Linked DNA regions of Kluyveromyces lactis. The main gene of each other region encodes a partner of the protein of the gene in region 2 in a complex. Links are inferred from orthologs where the notes say so. Each region holds a gene or a part of one and is shown on either strand. Other genes may lie near its edges. The genes, in order: MRPL51, MRPL9, MRPL33, MRPL19, MRPL7, MRPL16 and MRPL23.

Evidence for each region.
Region 1: MRPL9 (region 2) and MRPL51 share a complex: the UniProt entries of both Schizosaccharomyces pombe proteins name them as parts of the mitochondrial large ribosomal subunit. The link is inferred for Kluyveromyces lactis from reciprocal best matches to the Schizosaccharomyces pombe genes mrpl9 and mrpl51.
Region 3: MRPL9 (region 2) and MRPL33 share a complex: the UniProt entries of both Schizosaccharomyces pombe proteins name them as parts of the mitochondrial large ribosomal subunit. The link is inferred for Kluyveromyces lactis from reciprocal best matches to the Schizosaccharomyces pombe genes mrpl9 and mrpl33.
Region 4: MRPL9 (region 2) and MRPL19 share a complex: the UniProt entries of both Schizosaccharomyces pombe proteins name them as parts of the mitochondrial large ribosomal subunit. The link is inferred for Kluyveromyces lactis from reciprocal best matches to the Schizosaccharomyces pombe genes mrpl9 and mrpl19.
Region 5: MRPL9 (region 2) and MRPL7 share a complex: the UniProt entries of both Schizosaccharomyces pombe proteins name them as parts of the mitochondrial large ribosomal subunit. The link is inferred for Kluyveromyces lactis from reciprocal best matches to the Schizosaccharomyces pombe genes mrpl9 and mrpl7.
Region 6: MRPL9 (region 2) and MRPL16 share a complex: the UniProt entries of both Schizosaccharomyces pombe proteins name them as parts of the mitochondrial large ribosomal subunit. The link is inferred for Kluyveromyces lactis from reciprocal best matches to the Schizosaccharomyces pombe genes mrpl9 and mrpl16.
Region 7: MRPL9 (region 2) and MRPL23 share a complex: the UniProt entries of both Schizosaccharomyces pombe proteins name them as parts of the mitochondrial large ribosomal subunit. The link is inferred for Kluyveromyces lactis from reciprocal best matches to the Schizosaccharomyces pombe genes mrpl9 and mrpl23.

Annotation. Positions count from the first base shown.
Region 1 is NC_006042.1:776,644-778,741, forward strand, and holds MRPL51 (mitochondrial 54S ribosomal protein mL43), read right to left. Parts: upstream 930-2,098; coding exon 501-929; downstream 1-500. Other genes in the region: GCD2 (translation initiation factor eIF2B subunit delta), read left to right, coding at 1-290. UniProt on the Schizosaccharomyces pombe protein: Component of the mitochondrial ribosome (mitoribosome), a dedicated translation machinery responsible for the synthesis of mitochondrial genome-encoded proteins, including at least some of the essential transmembrane subunits of the mitochondrial respiratory chain.
Region 2 is NC_006041.1:1,426,263-1,428,861, reverse strand, and holds MRPL9 (mitochondrial 54S ribosomal protein uL3m), read right to left. Parts: upstream 1,323-2,599; coding exon 501-1,322; downstream 1-500. Other genes in the region: exportin CRM1, read left to right, coding at 1-131; MRPL6 (mitochondrial 54S ribosomal protein uL6m), read right to left, coding at 1,665-2,309. UniProt on the Schizosaccharomyces pombe protein: Component of the mitochondrial ribosome (mitoribosome), a dedicated translation machinery responsible for the synthesis of mitochondrial genome-encoded proteins, including at least some of the essential transmembrane subunits of the mitochondrial respiratory chain.
Region 3 is NC_006039.1:553,385-555,412, forward strand, and holds MRPL33 (mitochondrial 54S ribosomal protein uL30m), read left to right. Parts: upstream 1-1,273; coding exon 1,274-1,528; downstream 1,529-2,028. Other genes in the region: NGL2 (RNA exonuclease), read right to left, coding at 1-659; KLLA0_C06292g (uncharacterized protein), read right to left, coding at 1,728-2,028. UniProt on the Schizosaccharomyces pombe protein: Component of the mitochondrial ribosome (mitoribosome), a dedicated translation machinery responsible for the synthesis of mitochondrial genome-encoded proteins, including at least some of the essential transmembrane subunits of the mitochondrial respiratory chain.
Region 4 is NC_006040.1:716,101-718,219, forward strand, and holds MRPL19 (mitochondrial 54S ribosomal protein uL11m), read left to right. Parts: upstream 1-1,169; coding exon 1,170-1,619; downstream 1,620-2,119. Other genes in the region: serine/threonine protein kinase NPR1, read left to right, coding at 1-697; ubiquitin-specific protease UBP10, read right to left, coding at 1,946-2,119. UniProt on the Schizosaccharomyces pombe protein: Component of the mitochondrial ribosome (mitoribosome), a dedicated translation machinery responsible for the synthesis of mitochondrial genome-encoded proteins, including at least some of the essential transmembrane subunits of the mitochondrial respiratory chain.
Region 5 is NC_006039.1:1,326,649-1,329,295, reverse strand, and holds MRPL7 (mitochondrial 54S ribosomal protein uL5m), read right to left. Parts: upstream 1,371-2,647; coding exon 501-1,370; downstream 1-500. Other genes in the region: SEC26 (coatomer subunit beta), read left to right, coding at 1-284; nucleoporin GLE1, read left to right, coding at 1,811-2,647. UniProt on the Schizosaccharomyces pombe protein: Component of the mitochondrial ribosome (mitoribosome), a dedicated translation machinery responsible for the synthesis of mitochondrial genome-encoded proteins, including at least some of the essential transmembrane subunits of the mitochondrial respiratory chain.
Region 6 is NC_006038.1:1,064,530-1,067,156, forward strand, and holds MRPL16 (mitochondrial 54S ribosomal protein uL16m), read left to right. Parts: upstream 1-1,461; coding exon 1,462-2,127; downstream 2,128-2,627. Other genes in the region: MSF1 (phenylalanine--tRNA ligase), read right to left, coding at 1-1,092; RFC5 (replication factor C subunit 5), read right to left, coding at 2,279-2,627. UniProt on the Schizosaccharomyces pombe protein: Component of the mitochondrial ribosome (mitoribosome), a dedicated translation machinery responsible for the synthesis of mitochondrial genome-encoded proteins, including at least some of the essential transmembrane subunits of the mitochondrial respiratory chain.
Region 7 is NC_006040.1:210,738-212,858, forward strand, and holds MRPL23 (mitochondrial 54S ribosomal protein uL13m), read left to right. Parts: upstream 1-1,153; coding exon 1,154-1,621; downstream 1,622-2,121. Other genes in the region: protein disulfide isomerase MPD1, read left to right, coding at 1-878; CRN1 (coronin), read right to left, coding at 1,966-2,121. UniProt on the Schizosaccharomyces pombe protein: Component of the mitochondrial ribosome (mitoribosome), a dedicated translation machinery responsible for the synthesis of mitochondrial genome-encoded proteins, including at least some of the essential transmembrane subunits of the mitochondrial respiratory chain.

The DNA.
Region 1 (2,098 bases), on a different chromosome or scaffold from region 2:
AGCAATTTATCAAAGAGCGTGAAGCGCAGCAGAAGGAAGTCGAGAATAGCTCTAAGCAAAATAATAAATCTGGCAGTGCTAATACCAATAATGCTACTGCCGACGAAGGTAAGAATGTCAAGGATAAACCAATACTAGCAGAGTGGGAGAAATCACCTAATTTGCACATCTTCAATATAATGTACGATTTAACACCCCCTGACTACATCAAGAAGATCATTACAGAATTTGGTTCGTTGCCACCATCTTCTGTTCCCGTGGTTCTTAGAGAATACAAAGCATCAGCTTGAATGGAGCCCTTTGCATATATAATATACGATAATATCATATAATATAGTAAATGAAAAATTAGTATAGATCTTCTTTTTTATTAATTGCGTAGTAATATTCAACATCGTAGGTTGTTTACTTAGGTATCGGCTTCATCGAGGATATTGCTATATATATGTACAAGTTAAGCTATGATCTCGATATTACCATTCACAAGTCATTTTTTCGATTCAAACCTTGTGTCTGATGGCTGGGCTTAAATGTAGTGGAGACCAGATACCTCTCACACTATCGTTCAAAGTATCCACATTGTCGTTCTTAGTTCTGTGACGGAGTTGCTCACCAGATGCGTCTCTGATTAGTTTTAACTTATTCTCTACATTATCAATGTTCAGATTTTTTACGCAGATGGCTTTATTACGGCCATTAACATAGTCACCTTTTATAACTGGATGGCCAGACTTTCTTACTATTTCGAACTGTATTGTTGGATATTTTTCAGCCCATTGAATCATTCTGTTAGACGTTAGGAAATCTCTCAAACCCTGTGAGGAACCACCCCAATTACAGTATTGCAAAGTGATCTTTTTACATGGAAGCACAAAAGCGCCAACACCATTTCTTGCGATAGAAGTTTGTCTCAAAACTTTAACAACCATTACTTCAGAGAAATCTTTATGACCGCGGGTACCAGCTCTGATTAGAAAACAAGTTGGGTGTATTTTGAAACTGTGGAGAGATCCTTCAGATGCAGAACATAGATTCACTAATATATCTTTTGAGTTTTATTCGAGTTTTCAGTTCATGATTATTTTTTTCCAATTTCAAAAGACCATCAGTCACGTGAACAAATCTGTATGTATTCGAAGGTAGGAGGACAATTCACCACATGCTCACACAAATGAAAAAGATACTGGTACCAACACTGCTATAAGGTGACGAATGTAAATAATACAGAACCTCTTTCCGACTATATTCTGTTTCTTTCACATTGCTATGTCAACACATCCTCATGAGATGTCATACGTCATGTAAACTTGATGATCTGTCGATGGGTTATGACAATAATGCACTACCAGCGTTTGGTTAAGGGTACTTTTACTGAGCAAATCCATAGAAAGTACGATAGAGGCCCCAGATTCTGATCCAAGATGTCCCAAAGGCTTCATATGAGGTTAATTAAATAAAGGGCCTGATTTGCGTTCACCCATGGAATGTACGGATTGACACCTAGCGTATGTTGGATGCACACTAGTAATTTGTTAAAAAAATTATGCACATGCGTCATTTAAACCAATTAACTGGGCACTCCCTATTAAGTGTGATGTAAGTGTATGACACTTTGTTCAAGAACAGGCAAATGTATTGCCATAATAGTCACCAGTTTATCATTATGGTGCGTATAATGTCCCTATAACTATTGAAAAATTAAAGTTCTATGCGTTTTTTTAAGGATGCGTATAACGATGACCACCCCTAAAAAACATTCACTTGTAAGTAGCGAACAGTCAAGGTTTGTATCCGTTTCTTTAATTTATTACGGCGTTCACTGAAGCGTTTCAACGATGCAGTATAAAATGCGACAAAAAAATTTAGGGAAAAAAGCAGAAGAATACCATACTAATTAACTGGAACTTGGTAATTCATCAACGGTAAATACTTATAAGGTGTTAAGAGTTTATTAGCGTGTCCAAAGTAACATTTGTATTATATAAGAAGGGCAGCAAATGGCACTTTTTTACTACCATTTTCATACCTTTTACTTGCACCTTTATTTCATGTCATTGAAGAATTCTTAATATACATAGTTTTCCTTCAGATTAATTAA
Region 2 (2,599 bases):
GAGATCCAACCGATTATTTGTTCGCAGAGGACAAAGAACAAGCTCTCGCGGAACAACATAAACTTGAAAGAGAAAGAGCTTCCAAGATCGGTGGGTTATTGAAACCATCGGAATTGGATGATGATGAGTAAAGATAACACCTTACAGAAATGTACAGCATGGTCAAGAAACGAAAAAGTTTCTGCGGATCCAATGAAAGCTGAAACTAACACTTGTCAAGCAAGGCAAATATATACATAGCAGGCCGTATATCTTCCCACATAGAGAAAAAAATTGTAATCAATTCTCTCCGACATATACCCAGGATCCAGTATCAACGTATGAAAGCCATTAAATATCTGGTTGAAAAGGACACTCAACGTTGCAGCAGTTACTATTTTATAATTGGTGTATATACAGGTATAGATTGTTAATAATAACCGTAGAAAGGCATGCTTTCCAAATGATTTCGGGACGGTGTCTAAACGACTGAAAAGATTCAATTTCTTAATCACAGTTTTTTATACTGGGGTTGGCTTTTTGATAGCATCTTGGATCTTAACGAATGCACCATTTGGACCTGCGACAGAGCCCTTCACCAAGACAGTACCTGTTTCGTCGTTGACGTCCAGCACTTGCACGTTTTGAATTGTTACAGTGTCGACACCCATATGACCAGGCATCTTTTTCCCAGGCAACACACGACCAGGTGTTTGATTTTGACCGTAAGAACCACCAGATCTGTGAGATACGGAAACACCGTGGGATGCCTTCAAACCTTTGAATCCATAACGTTTCATTACACCTTGGAAACCCTTACCTTTGCTGATTGATCTTAAATCAACGTATTGGCCAGGCTTGAACCACGAAGGTTTGATTAAAGAACCCACTGGTAGTAGTCCAGATTCGTCCTTGACTCTAAACTCGGTAACTTTTTCCTTTGGATTCACAACATGTGCAGCGAAATGTCCCAACATTTGTCTGGTAACATTCTCCGGCGACTTGTTACCATAACCAATTTGGCAAGCCCAGTAATTGTTTTCAGCTGGAGTTCTGTGTAGTATAACTTCGTTATTGTCCAACTGAAGTACAGTAGCTGCTATACGTTTACCAGTCTCTTTCTCGAAATACGGCATCATCCCTACTTTTTTACTCAAAGCACCACAACGTAGAGGTAATCTTCTTCTCTTTAGCGCATTTTCTGGAGAATGTTTAATATCTACAGGATCTAGATGAATGCTGCTTGCCACGGATGGTGCGACTAACTTGGCACCGTTCGATACTCCACTTTGTGAGAAAAGTCTTGTCCAAATCTTCGACGAAGGACTGCCAATAAATGCCATTATTCCCCAATTTTCAAAGACTGGTCGATTGATAACAAATGTGTCAATCCAGATAACCTCTTGGCAATGCTGGAGAAACTGTAAAGGATTTAAAATGTAGTTTAAAGACTCTATTGAAACCTGTTTCCATCTCTGTATAATTGTTAAAGCTGTTTCGATATTGAAAATTTTTTGAATCGATAAAGTTACCTATAGATCACGTGATTAAAACGGCACGTAGTTCTCTCACTGATTTAACACAAATTAAGTGTGCCCTTGACGGTTATTGGAAGTGTATGTTTATGCTTCTGTATTTACATGTTATTTAATATTATAATAATTATAATCATCATTCTATCGTCATCATTTGATCTTCTTATCCTTGATCTTGATAGTTTCATTGTTAACGTAGATACCTTTACCCTTATATGGTTCTGGAGGATGGAATTTTCTCAAGTTGGCAGCGAAGAGTAGCACTTGTTGCTTGTTGACACCTTCCACGATCAACGACGTGGGTACCGGAGACTTAACTATGATTCCCTCTGGGATAGGTAGGCCTTGTCTTACCGACGCACCGACTTTGACGTTGACAAAGGTGTTATTTTCCTCCAATTGAGCTCTGTAACCGGTACCAACGAACTTCAGAACAGCCATATGGCTCTCATTCACGCCTGTGATATGATTATTTATATGAGATCTTACCGTCCCCCACATGGATCTTTGCGTCTTGTCGGTAGAATCCTTCACTGCAACTTCGATTTTTCCCGAAGATCCATCCTGCTTTATCTCCACGAAATCTGGGATTTCCATATCAATCTTCCCCAAAGGACCCGATACAGTTACGTTCTGAGATAACTTAAGAGATTTGTTACCCTTTCTGATGATCTTTGGCAGTTTCATTGATTCCACCACCAACTTGGTCTCCGGTGTCAAATACACCGGAGAAGAACCAATATGTGAGCGCAGAAGAGCCGACACAGAAAAGAGTCTTCTGGAAACAAATGTCATGGTAATTGTGTATATCCTGGAAATAGTCTAGCCCACTTTGCAGCCGCTATATGACTGGGTATATTAGATCAAATGCGTCTATATCAATCTGTTCTTCCAGCACTCATCTCTATGCGTCTTTCAACCAATTTTTCACTTGGAATCAAAATTTTAATAGTGAGATAGTATGGGAGGGTAACTTTAATTGCTTTGACGATTGTTAAATAAGATATACTTAGGCTGTTACTCTCGATTGGTGACCATCTAGGCCACTCCTGGGTCGAAATGGGATGTGGAGACTGCTCTTCGTC
Region 3 (2,028 bases), on a different chromosome or scaffold from region 2:
TCGTAGTCAATTAACATCTTATCTGTCATATCAAATAGATCTTCTTTCCAAGCAATTAATACTCCGTGGTTTTTGGTAGGATTAAAATGGAATTGACACATGTAACCTAGTTTTGTGAACTCCATTTTCCAGAAAGACTTGTATTGAACCGTGTCAATTTCTTGCAAACACAGTACGTCAACATTGTAATATTTGAATTCATTGAGTAAAACTTGAGATCTTTTAAACCATTTAACAGCATTTCCGCTCGTAGGAAACAGTGTTCTTCTAATCAAAGCTTGGGCAAGACAATTATACGTCATTATACTGATTGGACATACCTCTCTCGTCGATTGGCCTGATGAATCTCGAGGAACAGCTAACATCGGCCTTTTGATAAATCTAAGGTCTGCGGGCAATTTTGGATCTATACCTTGAGCAATAAGAGCCTCTTTTTTTGCTATTTTCGCAGCTTCTCTCTTAGCTCGCATCTCAGCGATATACTCTGGAGTGATCTCATTCAAGGCCTTGCCTTTTTTCTTACTTTTCTTGTCCTTTACTTTATTCTTACCTTCTACCTTCAACTGGTCCATCCCATCAGTAATCGATAGCTTTTTTGCTTGTTCCACAAGCTCTTTTGGAACGTCTTTGACGCCGGTGTCTTGCGTACTACCAGCCATATTGGCTCAAATTATTACTTCTACTTTGCAGTGTATAGTGGCGATATAAACCTTAGAGAGATCTAACCAACCATGGCGTTAAGAGCTTGTTAATATGATATATATATATATTATTCAATCGGGCATAAATATTGGAAAAAAAGAAATGACATATATATATATATATATATACATAACCAAGCAAATGCCCCTCCTAAGACAATTTCAATGCAACTTCATATTCAGGAAGAAATATTCAAACAGCGAGATATAATCTTGAGATCTTTATATGCAATTCCTGGTTCTTTCTCAGTAGGTAGCACTTTCCTGCGACGGTTTGTGAGAAGTGCCCAAATGACATACGCGATGAGCTGCTAGACAATATACATCACATGATATCACTTTATACGTTTTGATGCTATTTGAAAAATCAATGTACGTTGGCTATTAATGGTTTGAATACCCAGTTAATCTCTTCGATAATGATGCACAAGATCTCTTAAAAGAGCGTTTTTTTTTGACATAGTTCTCTATATTGTCAACGAAACTTACGACCGAGGAAATTATACTTCATTACTGGTATTAGCGAACGGTTTCTAAAAGCATAGCTATCATAATAATTTTCAAAGATAGCCATGGTTTTCTACAGAATTACATTACAGAGGTCAGTCATTGGTACTCCACAGAAGACTAGGGCAGTGGTCAAGAGTTTAGGACTCGGAAAAAGAGGATCTGTCGCATATCAACCAGCTACACCATCTATTGCAGGTGCTGTCGCTCAGATAAAGGAGCTTGTGAGCGTTGAGCTTGCCGATAAAGCTTTAAGTAAGGCAGAACAGCGTGAGCTAAGAAAATCAAATCCTGGATTTACTGTCGAAAAGAGAGTATAGAAAGGATCATACCAGACAATATAACAAACAAAGCAATGTACCAGAAACATTTAACAGAGAAGAAACTGGGCTCACAATGAACATCTTCTGTTTTACATAAAGAAAAGGATATTAGGATTTTCATGTATATAGAGATCAAAGAAATATTAATCTTATTCTAATGAGGTATTTGAGAGTATCATATACCAAACGTCTTTATTTAGAAGACACCGGTGACTTCTCTGGTGAGAATATTCCTAGGCTGTTTCACGTATTCGTCGTCACCATCTTCACCATATTCATCATCGTCAAATGCCACCGAGAACGAATCTACAATTCTGAAGATATCATTTTTATTCATAGCTTTTCCATCAAAACTTAGTTCTATACTGTCATTTGCCGAAAAGAATTGATTTTCTTGAGCCAGCAATTGATCAACTCTATTGTACAAATGTTTTGTTTTAGGTCTTTGTGGTAACCTTTGAACACTCATATTCTGGGAGATATATTTGCTCAAAACA
Region 4 (2,119 bases), on a different chromosome or scaffold from region 2:
GCATCGTGATATGAAGTTGGACAACTGTGTAATAAACAACCAGGGTATAGTGAAGTTGATTGACTTCGGTGCTGCAGAAGTCTTCTCCTACCCCCACTCAAAAACTTTAATCGAGTCAAGTGGCATTGTTGGAAGTGATCCATATTTGGCTCCCGAAGTTTGTATATTTACCAAGTATGACCCAAGACCTGTTGATATATGGTCCGTTGCCATTTTGTTTGCATGTATGGTATTAAAGAAATTCCCATGGAAGATACCTAAGTTAAAGGATAATTCCTTCAAATTCTTCTGTTCGGGAAGAGACTGCGATTCCTTGAGTGCTTTAGTCACAAAAACACCTAAACCGCCAAGTTATGACAATGCCGTCCAATCTGATGAGCCAGCTGAGAGCACATCTAAATCGAACAACCCATCTGATCCAAACAACACGAATATTGGTCCTCAAAGACTACTTCATTCCTTACCGGAAGAGACCCACCACATTATCGGTAGGATGGTAGACTTGGCTCCTGCTTGTAGAGCCAATATTGAAGAAGTATTAAATGACCCTTGGATTCAATCCATTGACATGTGCACCGTTGAAGTAGACAACCAAGGTAACTACGTCGTGCACCCTGGAATGGACCACAAACATACCCAAGTTGATCAAAGCGAAGCCCACATTGCTGGTCTTGAAAAGAAAAAAAAGGCAAAATAAATTAAGAGAGAGAGTAAAACTAGCAATCCGGCTGAGGTATGTTCTACAGCATGTTTTATCAAATAAGAGTAACTCTTCTGAGACGACATAGACTTCTAATTGTTGTGCAATCGTTATAAATTATCTCTCCTGTAAAAGTACACAAATGTATAAAATATTTAAGAACAATTCTTGGCATTCTCATAAAATTAATGCTTTATAACGTTAGCAACCTTTGGCATGAAGTCGGTACACATCGCAGCATATGGTTCTATTTAGCAGACAATGAATTGTGCTTATTAGAAAGTGTATAATGGAAAACAATGTGCGGGTAATAACTTCAAAATTTTCTTTGGCCTAAAAAATTCTTGGAGATATGCCAGATTATAAGCTGGTAAAAATCGATGGCTTAAAGTAAGATGTGCATTCAATCCGATCAATTGCCTCGAACAAAATATCGAAACAGTAAGTCCAGGAAGCGCCAAACAGGACCATGTCGAAGGTTCTTAAGAACGTGATAGTCAAACTTATTGTCGGAGCAGGTCAAGCTGCGCCTTCTCCTCCAGTTGGTCCAGCTTTAGGGTCTAAAGGTATTAAAGCTATTGATTTCTGTAAAGAGTTCAATGCCAGAACAGCAAACTTCCAACCGGGTACTCCGATTCCAGTACTCATCAATATCAAACCAGATAGAACATTTTCGTTTGAAATGAAAAGCCCTCCTACTGGATATCTTTTATTGAAGGCATTAAGTCTTGAGAAGGGACACGGACAACCAAATATCAGTAACCCTGATAATGTATGTGGTGAACTGTCGTTAAAACATATATATGAGATCGCCAAGATCAAGAAGACCGATGGAAGACACGCTGCTCTGGAACTTGAAGGAATCGTAAAGTCTATTATCGGTGTTGCTAAGAGTATGGGTATTAAGGTAGTTCCATAAACTGACTTTTTTTTCACTAATCAAAGCATCGATTTGTGAAATAGTGAAGGTCTCGATGGAGAGTTTCATTCCAACTGGTTTATTAGCATTTGTAGACCTCATTTCGTGTACATAAAATAGAATAATGAAAAGATAAAATTATAATAATATATCAACTACTATAGATGAAGATGTATATGATGATCCAAATGAACTGAAACCGAAGTGAAAAAAGATGAACTGAAGTCAGTGTGAGGTAGATGCATGTATGACTGTTTACAAAGAAAGAATGAACAAGGATGCAAGTGTATTGTAAGCCGGTAGTTTAAGGAAAGGGTTATTCAAACTTATGGGGAAATCCTTCTCTTCTTGTTTTTTTTCTTATTCTTACGTTTAGAGTTGTTCTGCGATGATGAGTGTGAAGATGGAGGTCTTTGCAATTGCGGAATACCTAGATCAGTAGATTTATTGGAAGATTGAGAGGAAAGTGGGACCGATTTTGGTGTAAGTCTAGTGTACAC
Region 5 (2,647 bases), on a different chromosome or scaffold from region 2:
GTTATTTAGAGAAGTTGGTGGAAGTTACACATATGAAGGTTCTAACCCCTGAAGAGGCACTCGGCGACAATGATTCCAGATTCCTAAGTTGTAACTTATATTCTAGATCTACATTTGGCGAGGACGCTTTGGCTAACCTGTGCATAGAGAAGGATCCAATCACACAAGAAATTGTTGGTGAAATCCGTATTCGTTCAAAGACCCAAGGGTTAGCTTTAACCAATGGTGACAATATTACCAGAATGGGAAGAACTATGAATATCGTTAGTGTTGATCGTGTTTGAGGTTAATAATTTGAAGACTTTGATCTCACCAATTACCTGTAATGCAATATATATGCCACTTTTTACTTATTGAAATCTATTACATATAAGTGTACATTAAGAGACGTCGACATTTGTATAAAGGTAGTCATATACATATAATGCTGATAATTTTTTTATCCTATTAGTGAGTGTTATTTACAGGACGAAAGACAGGATAAAAACTACTTGGGAGCATTAATTGATCTTTTCCGAACCGTTGAAAGGAAAACCGAATCCACTGACCAAAGTTCTAGCCTGTACGTCAGTTTGGGCAGTTGTGTTGATGTTGATGTGCATACCAAAAGTTACTGGCCAAAGATCTTGATTAGCATCAATCTCTGGGAAAAATCTGACTTCATCGCTGGTCATACCAAATGATAACCCACCAAATCTGTTACCTGACTTGTTGGAGATACCTTTGTATTCTCTGATTCTTGGTAGTACAATTTCAGTCAAAGTGGATAAGAACTGAGACATTGGACGACCTTTCAATGTAATGACAGCACCCATTTGGGTACCTCTTCTGACCTTCCAGGCCGGAACATCATTCCTAGAGAACAAAGCCTTTGGTTTACACCCGGTAATTTGTTGCAATTGTAATGCTGCTGAAATTGGTAGATATTGGTTCTCTTTTGCATCTCTGACGTAACAGTTAATAACAACGGACTCGATGTCTGGAATGTTCTTCCACGTTACTGGATGAATATCTGGCAATTGAGCACTTGAGCCCTTAGGTTTTCTGGGTTCTCTGTTAATGTGATATGGAGAAGAACCGTCCCATTCTCTTTGCTTCAACCCGAGCTTCGTTTGGCTTTTGTGGGAATAATTTATCAATAATAAATCGCTTTGTAAAGTATTATAATAATGCTCACGAACACGGTCTTGATGTGTAACAACAGGCTTGAATGCTGGAGATCTAATATCGTTTTTACTATATTTCAATTCAGGAAACCTTGGGGATAGCTTGCTCTTGTCGATCTTAACCAAATGATGCACTGGCTTAACCAAAGCACAAGCAGCTTTGGAGACCTTTGAACTACTGTGGAAACCACGTACCACTTGCATTATCACTTGGTATCTTCTCACAGATGCGAACGAATGAATGTATAAACCTACGAATGGGAAGGAATACTGCTTTAAATCGAGTGAAACTGATCAAATCTCTATCATTATCTTACAGCTTTAGCTCGAAAGGTCGAAAAATTTTTAAAACTTTCAAGTACAGAGAATTCAATATACGTCACGTGACAAGAATCAACAAAAAGTGAAATTTGATTAAAAACCAGGTAGAGCTCAGTTGATGATTATAGAGAGTGTTGACCTTTCAGCCCTTGTGTTGATGCATTGCAGCCGTTTTTTTTTGATCCCGTACTTAAAGACACGTAGCTGGATTCTCCATTTAGGTAATAACAGTCGAACTTAACCCCGAATCGTTTACTTGAATTGAGCTTTTTACCGATTTGATAAAGTAAAGAAAGCGATTGACACATATCAGGACAATTGAGATGAGGTTCTCATTTGACGAATTGTACGAGAATGCTGAACGGAAACAGAGTCAGAATACCAGCAGCAGTGATTCTGACTATGAATTAGACGGGGAGTTTACGTATATTGGCGATCCATCTGATGGGATCCAGTTAAAACTACCGAAATTATACCATTCTTCAAAGAATGACGGCCAAGGTGAAGAGCAAGGGTTTAGTTCAGGAGATACAATTTCTTTAGAGGATGTGGTAGAACCAGAAATAGTTTCAATGCTTTCCAACTTAAATATCACTCTTGAAAGGAATGCACTACCGCATCTTACAACGAGAGGTCACGAGAATAAAGCTTTAGGCCCTGTTCTTATTGACGAAGCAGAACTTTATTACCAAGAGAAGAAGGATTTGATTGACGAGGTGGAACAACACACCTTTCCTATGCAAGACCAGGTGCTTGAATCTGTGTGGAATGAGGAAATTGATTCAATTGAAAAGGTGAATCAACGTTTAATTAAAAGCATAAAGGATAAAAAGAAGAGGGAAGAGGAAGCACGTATCCAGAAAGAATGCGAAGCGGAGAAGCGCAGACAAGAAGAATTGAAGCATAAAAAGGAGATGGAAAAGAAGTTGAAGGAGGAAGAGAAACGGAAGATTCAAGAAATGGCAGAAAAGGAGAAGAAAGCTGAAGAAGCGAAGAGAGTAGAAGCCCTGAAAAAGAAGCAAGAACAAGAACAACTGGAGAGGAATAAACTTAAACAGTCCAAAGAATCTACAAATTTCAAGTTAATCGAAGAAACTTTTACTAAATACAAAACCATGATTCAGACAATTAAAACAGAAATAATTGAACCGGTGAAGGCG
Region 6 (2,627 bases), on a different chromosome or scaffold from region 2:
CGGTTTGAATTTGTTGATTGTGCCCTCTTTGAATTGGGAATGGAACCTTTCGTCAAGGGTCCAGAATAATCTGATATCAGGGATCTCGAATAATAGCATTGCAATGCGGTCAAGGCCTAATCCAAAAGCCCAACCGATGTTTTGATTTTGTTCATATCCAGCTTTTAATAAAACGTCTTCACGGATAAGACCGCAACCGCAGAGCTCAAGCCAATTGTTTTGCCAGAACACTTCAATTTCCCATGATGGTGCAGTCCATGGGAAATAAGCTTGAATCCATCTAACCTTCAACTCTTCTCCCTTCACGTTACCCATACTTGCCAACTTTCTCTTGAAGACTTCCAATACAACAAGCTCCAAAGATCTTTTCAAATGGCGAGAACATAAATCGACTTCTTCCATCGTCATGTATTCCTGCTTTGGATTACCTTCCAAGGAAACGTTATCTTCCACGACAAGTTTCACTGGGTCGTCTGCCAAAGTTTTCTCCAATCTCTCGAGATCTTCTTTAATCTTTAATAAATGTTGGTTATCCGGTTCCCTTTTCCAAACTCTACCACCTTCCATTTGATGGAACACCGGATAATGAGTCCTGTCAATCTCATCTCTTCTATAGACATCGGCAGAGATTAAAAATCCAGGCTTATCAGTCTTACCCACATGGCCAGGAACAAACCCATTGATATTCTTGAAACATTCCAACTCATGGGCAGATGTATGCGTTCTTAACAGATGACAATCGTTCAAGTAATAGGTATCAGATTTCGATCTACCGGGGTGATCTTCTGGGAATCCCAAAGAATCAAAATTCTCATGTACCGTAACCGCAGGTTTGAAATCGTTATAGATCTCGAATGAGTGATGAGGGTCGTTCAGCTTGTCCTCGATAACACTTCTTAAGATCCCAACAGGGTGTGATGGTTTCAAATAAACAGCGCGATCAGTCAAATTCAAAATCGAACTAGTTACATTCGTCTTATCTGATACTGGGTACGTCTTTCCATTCACAGAAAGTGTCTGTAATGCCACATTGGAGGTGCTAAACAACCTTAAACATGGTCTCAAAGTTGACAATATCGTCCTATTCGACATCGTTTCGGTATTAAAGAACCCTTAATAACAGTAAAACTGGGGCAATTCAATCAACAAAACAAAGGTAATCCCTTAGCAATGATATTACTAGTGATATTTCACTGCCTGAAATCACCAGAACAGGTATATCAAGTGTTGTTTAACGAGACTTTTGTATCTTCTTTTGAATGTATGTAGAAGGTCACATGATTTCAAGATATCTTCAACTTCACCAAAAATTTTTCAATAATGAAAAGCTTTAAGAGTAAGTAAAAGAAGATCCAGAGCATAGAAATTGATTTGAAAAGCAGCATAAAACAGTCCCTCGCGCCTCATTGCAAGGATCTTATTTCAGATCAGTGAGCCTCCTTTATCGTAAATTAGATCACCATGTTTTCCAGCGTTTTCAAGACTGGATTTCGCTCACTAAATCCATTAGAAAGTCTGCAAGTAACCGCTAGGCGTTTTACACATGAATATGCTCCACGTTTCAAGAACCAGACTAAGAAGCAAAAGGGTCGTGTGCCAGTGCGTACCGGTGGCTCTACTAAGGGTAATTCGCTTCAATTTGGTCAATTTGGTTTAAGATTGAAGTCTGAAGGTGTGAGACTTACTGCGTTACAGTTGAAGGAAGCCGATAATGCTATTATGAGATACGTTAGACCTTTGAATAACGGTCAATTATGGCGTCGTTTGTGTACAAACATTGCTGTTTGTATCAAGGGTAATGAGACCAGAATGGGTAAAGGTAAGGGTGGATTTGACCATTGGATGGTCAGAGTACCCACCGGTAAAGTGATCTTTGAGATGGCAGGTGACAATCTACACGAGAAAGTAGCACGTGAGGCGTTTAGAAAGGCAGCAACCAAGCTTCCTGGCCTATACGAATTCATATCGAAAGATTCTCTGGTAAGAGTAGGTATCAAGAGTGTAAAAGATCCAAAGGACGATCCAAAGATCAATTACTTTGAAGAACTAAAGAAGAAACCTACAAAGGAATATATTACAAAGTTGAAGTCCCAGCAACCGGAATATAGAATGTTCAGGGCTCGTTGAAATAGATCGATGTGTGTATATAAACGACTCTTTTACGTATAACTTTTGTGAGAGCTAATCCCACTATCTGTAAATAGGCTATCAAAGATTCAAGATTTAAAGTCCCAAATGAGTAAAGTTTGGTTGTTTGTCAAACTACAAAAGTTAATACTTACGTATATTTATCTATTTCACACATTGTCCTTGCAATGAACCCTTCTAAATGGTAGATTGCTTTGTTTCCAAGGTTGAGACGGTGATCAAAAGTGCATGCAGTATCGATAATTGCCAACTTCAACGGATCTGACTGGGCATCTGAAAGCAATTGCGTCGTTAATTCATGGACTATGGTTTTGGCAGGAATACAATGGGCTAATAGATCATAATTTATGGAACGGCATTCTACAAGGTTATTAACAGTTCTTTCTTTTAATATTTTCCTAGCCATTTTATGGATCACCAATTGCCAATCAGGTCTGTTCAAAGGTGTATCGTTTCTTAAATGCAATTCATTTTGTAGT
Region 7 (2,121 bases), on a different chromosome or scaffold from region 2:
TCGATAAAGTCATTCATAGGACCAATTACACCACTTTGGTCATGTTTTATGCTCCGTGGTGTGGTTACTGTCAGGAATTGAAAGGTTCCATGAAATCTGCCGGTAAAATCCTCTCTGGAATGGTACAAGTTGCTGGAGTGAACTGTGATGAAAGTGTGAATAAACAATTATGTGCACAGAACAGAGTATCGGGGTTCCCAACGTTAATGGTATTCAGGCCTCCAAAGATCAATTTGGATAACCCAAAGAAAAATTCCAATGGTGCTGCGTCACAGCATGCCACAGAAGTGTACAAGGGAGAAAGGAAATTGAAGCCCATTGTCGATTTCGCTTTATCTAGAGTGAAAAACTACGTGAAGCGGTTGAACCGTTACAGTAAGTTCGAAGAACTATTAAAATCTTCAAGAACCAGGTACGCTGTAGTGCTTATCTCAAAGAAGGAGAAGATTCCAACTTTATATAAATCTGTAGCCCTCGATTGGCTTGGGATCTACGATTTCTATTCGATCTGGGACGAGAAATTGCAAGGCGTGTCACAATTGAGTTTTGAGAACGATACAAAGAATTGGCCAAATACTGTTAAATACCTCCAATCGTTAGAAAAAAGTGAAACTGAATTACAATCGCCCAGAATCGTAGTGATAGATAGAGAAACAGATACTTATGACGAACTAGACATATTAAAAACTACAGATAAAAATGACATTGCAACGTTCCTTTCGAAATTCGAGTCAAAACCAAGGGAAGGTCCACTCAGTAAGAGACAAGAATACCTCAAATCTATTTTGAATAAATCAAAGTCAAAGAAGTCCAAGACTAAAAAGAACAAACAGAAGACTAAACTTACGAAGGACGACATAGTTCAGGATGAGTTGTAGGTATTTGTTAGTAGCTTGTATATAGATTGTGTTTAACATCCGGGTAACAGTAATATGAGCGATTGAAAAAAATTTGGCTCCAAGCTGAAATTAAACATCAATTAATCAAATCGATTGTCAAGCTAAACATATGATGAGTTAAAAGACAACTGACTGTCCCGAACTATCCCTTTACCTAAGTGATTACAGTTGAATAGCATCACTTAAAATTTAACTTTTTAGGTGCCACGTTTTAACCTGTCAGAAAGGAGGCAAAATAACAATATATTAGAAGTATGTCTCAAAAGGTAGGACATACTGGTTTGGCATTTGCCAGGATGTGGCATCATGTTGATATATCCAAGGACAAGAGAACGCTTGGTAGGGTGGCATCTCAGGTTGCTCTAGCGTTAATGGGGAAGCACAAGCCAGTGTATCATCCATCTGCTGATTGCGGTGATTATGTTGTGGTAACGAACTGCCAAGCTTTGCGTGTGACGGGGAACAAGATGACCCAAAAGACGTACTGGTCGCATACTTCTAGACCAGGTTCATTAAAGTTGACTACAATGGAAGACATGATCAGTAACAAGGGTTACAGTGAAGTTTTGAAGAAGGCTGTGTCCGGAATGCTTCCCAAGAATAAACTTCGTAAGATCAGACTTGCTAGATTAAAAATTTTCGATGGAAGTGAACATCCATACAAGAGTAATATCACCGCATTTGCTGATCAGCAACTAGAGCTGCAACACCAGAAGAAATAGTGTGGATGAATTTTTATGTGACTTCTTAATTTTTGAGAAGTTAACGGCAGCATGTGATGTAAAATCCCTGTATATATTATTATTCGATCTAAATGGTTCTCCTTAGTACGCATACAATGTCTGTCGTTTTTCACTGTACTAAACTCTTCCACTTTACTATGTACATATAGATTGTTATTTAGATATGTTAATTATCACATACAAATCACATACAAATCACATACAGAGATAGAAAAGATATTACATCGCAGTATGCCAAAGCATAATACTTTTGCCTGGAAGAAAGAACATTTAACAGAACAAAAACGAGAAGAATTAGGGAAGGATGTATTTCATATTTGATATTATTTCCCTTGCTCCAAAAGACGATCTACTTTTGCTTCCAAAGCAGCAAGAATTTCATCTTTGCGGGTATTTTCCTCGGTTAATTTATCAATATAGCTTTCCAACTTTAGAACTAATCCAGATAATGTTTCTACAGATTGTCTCAAATTGAGAGA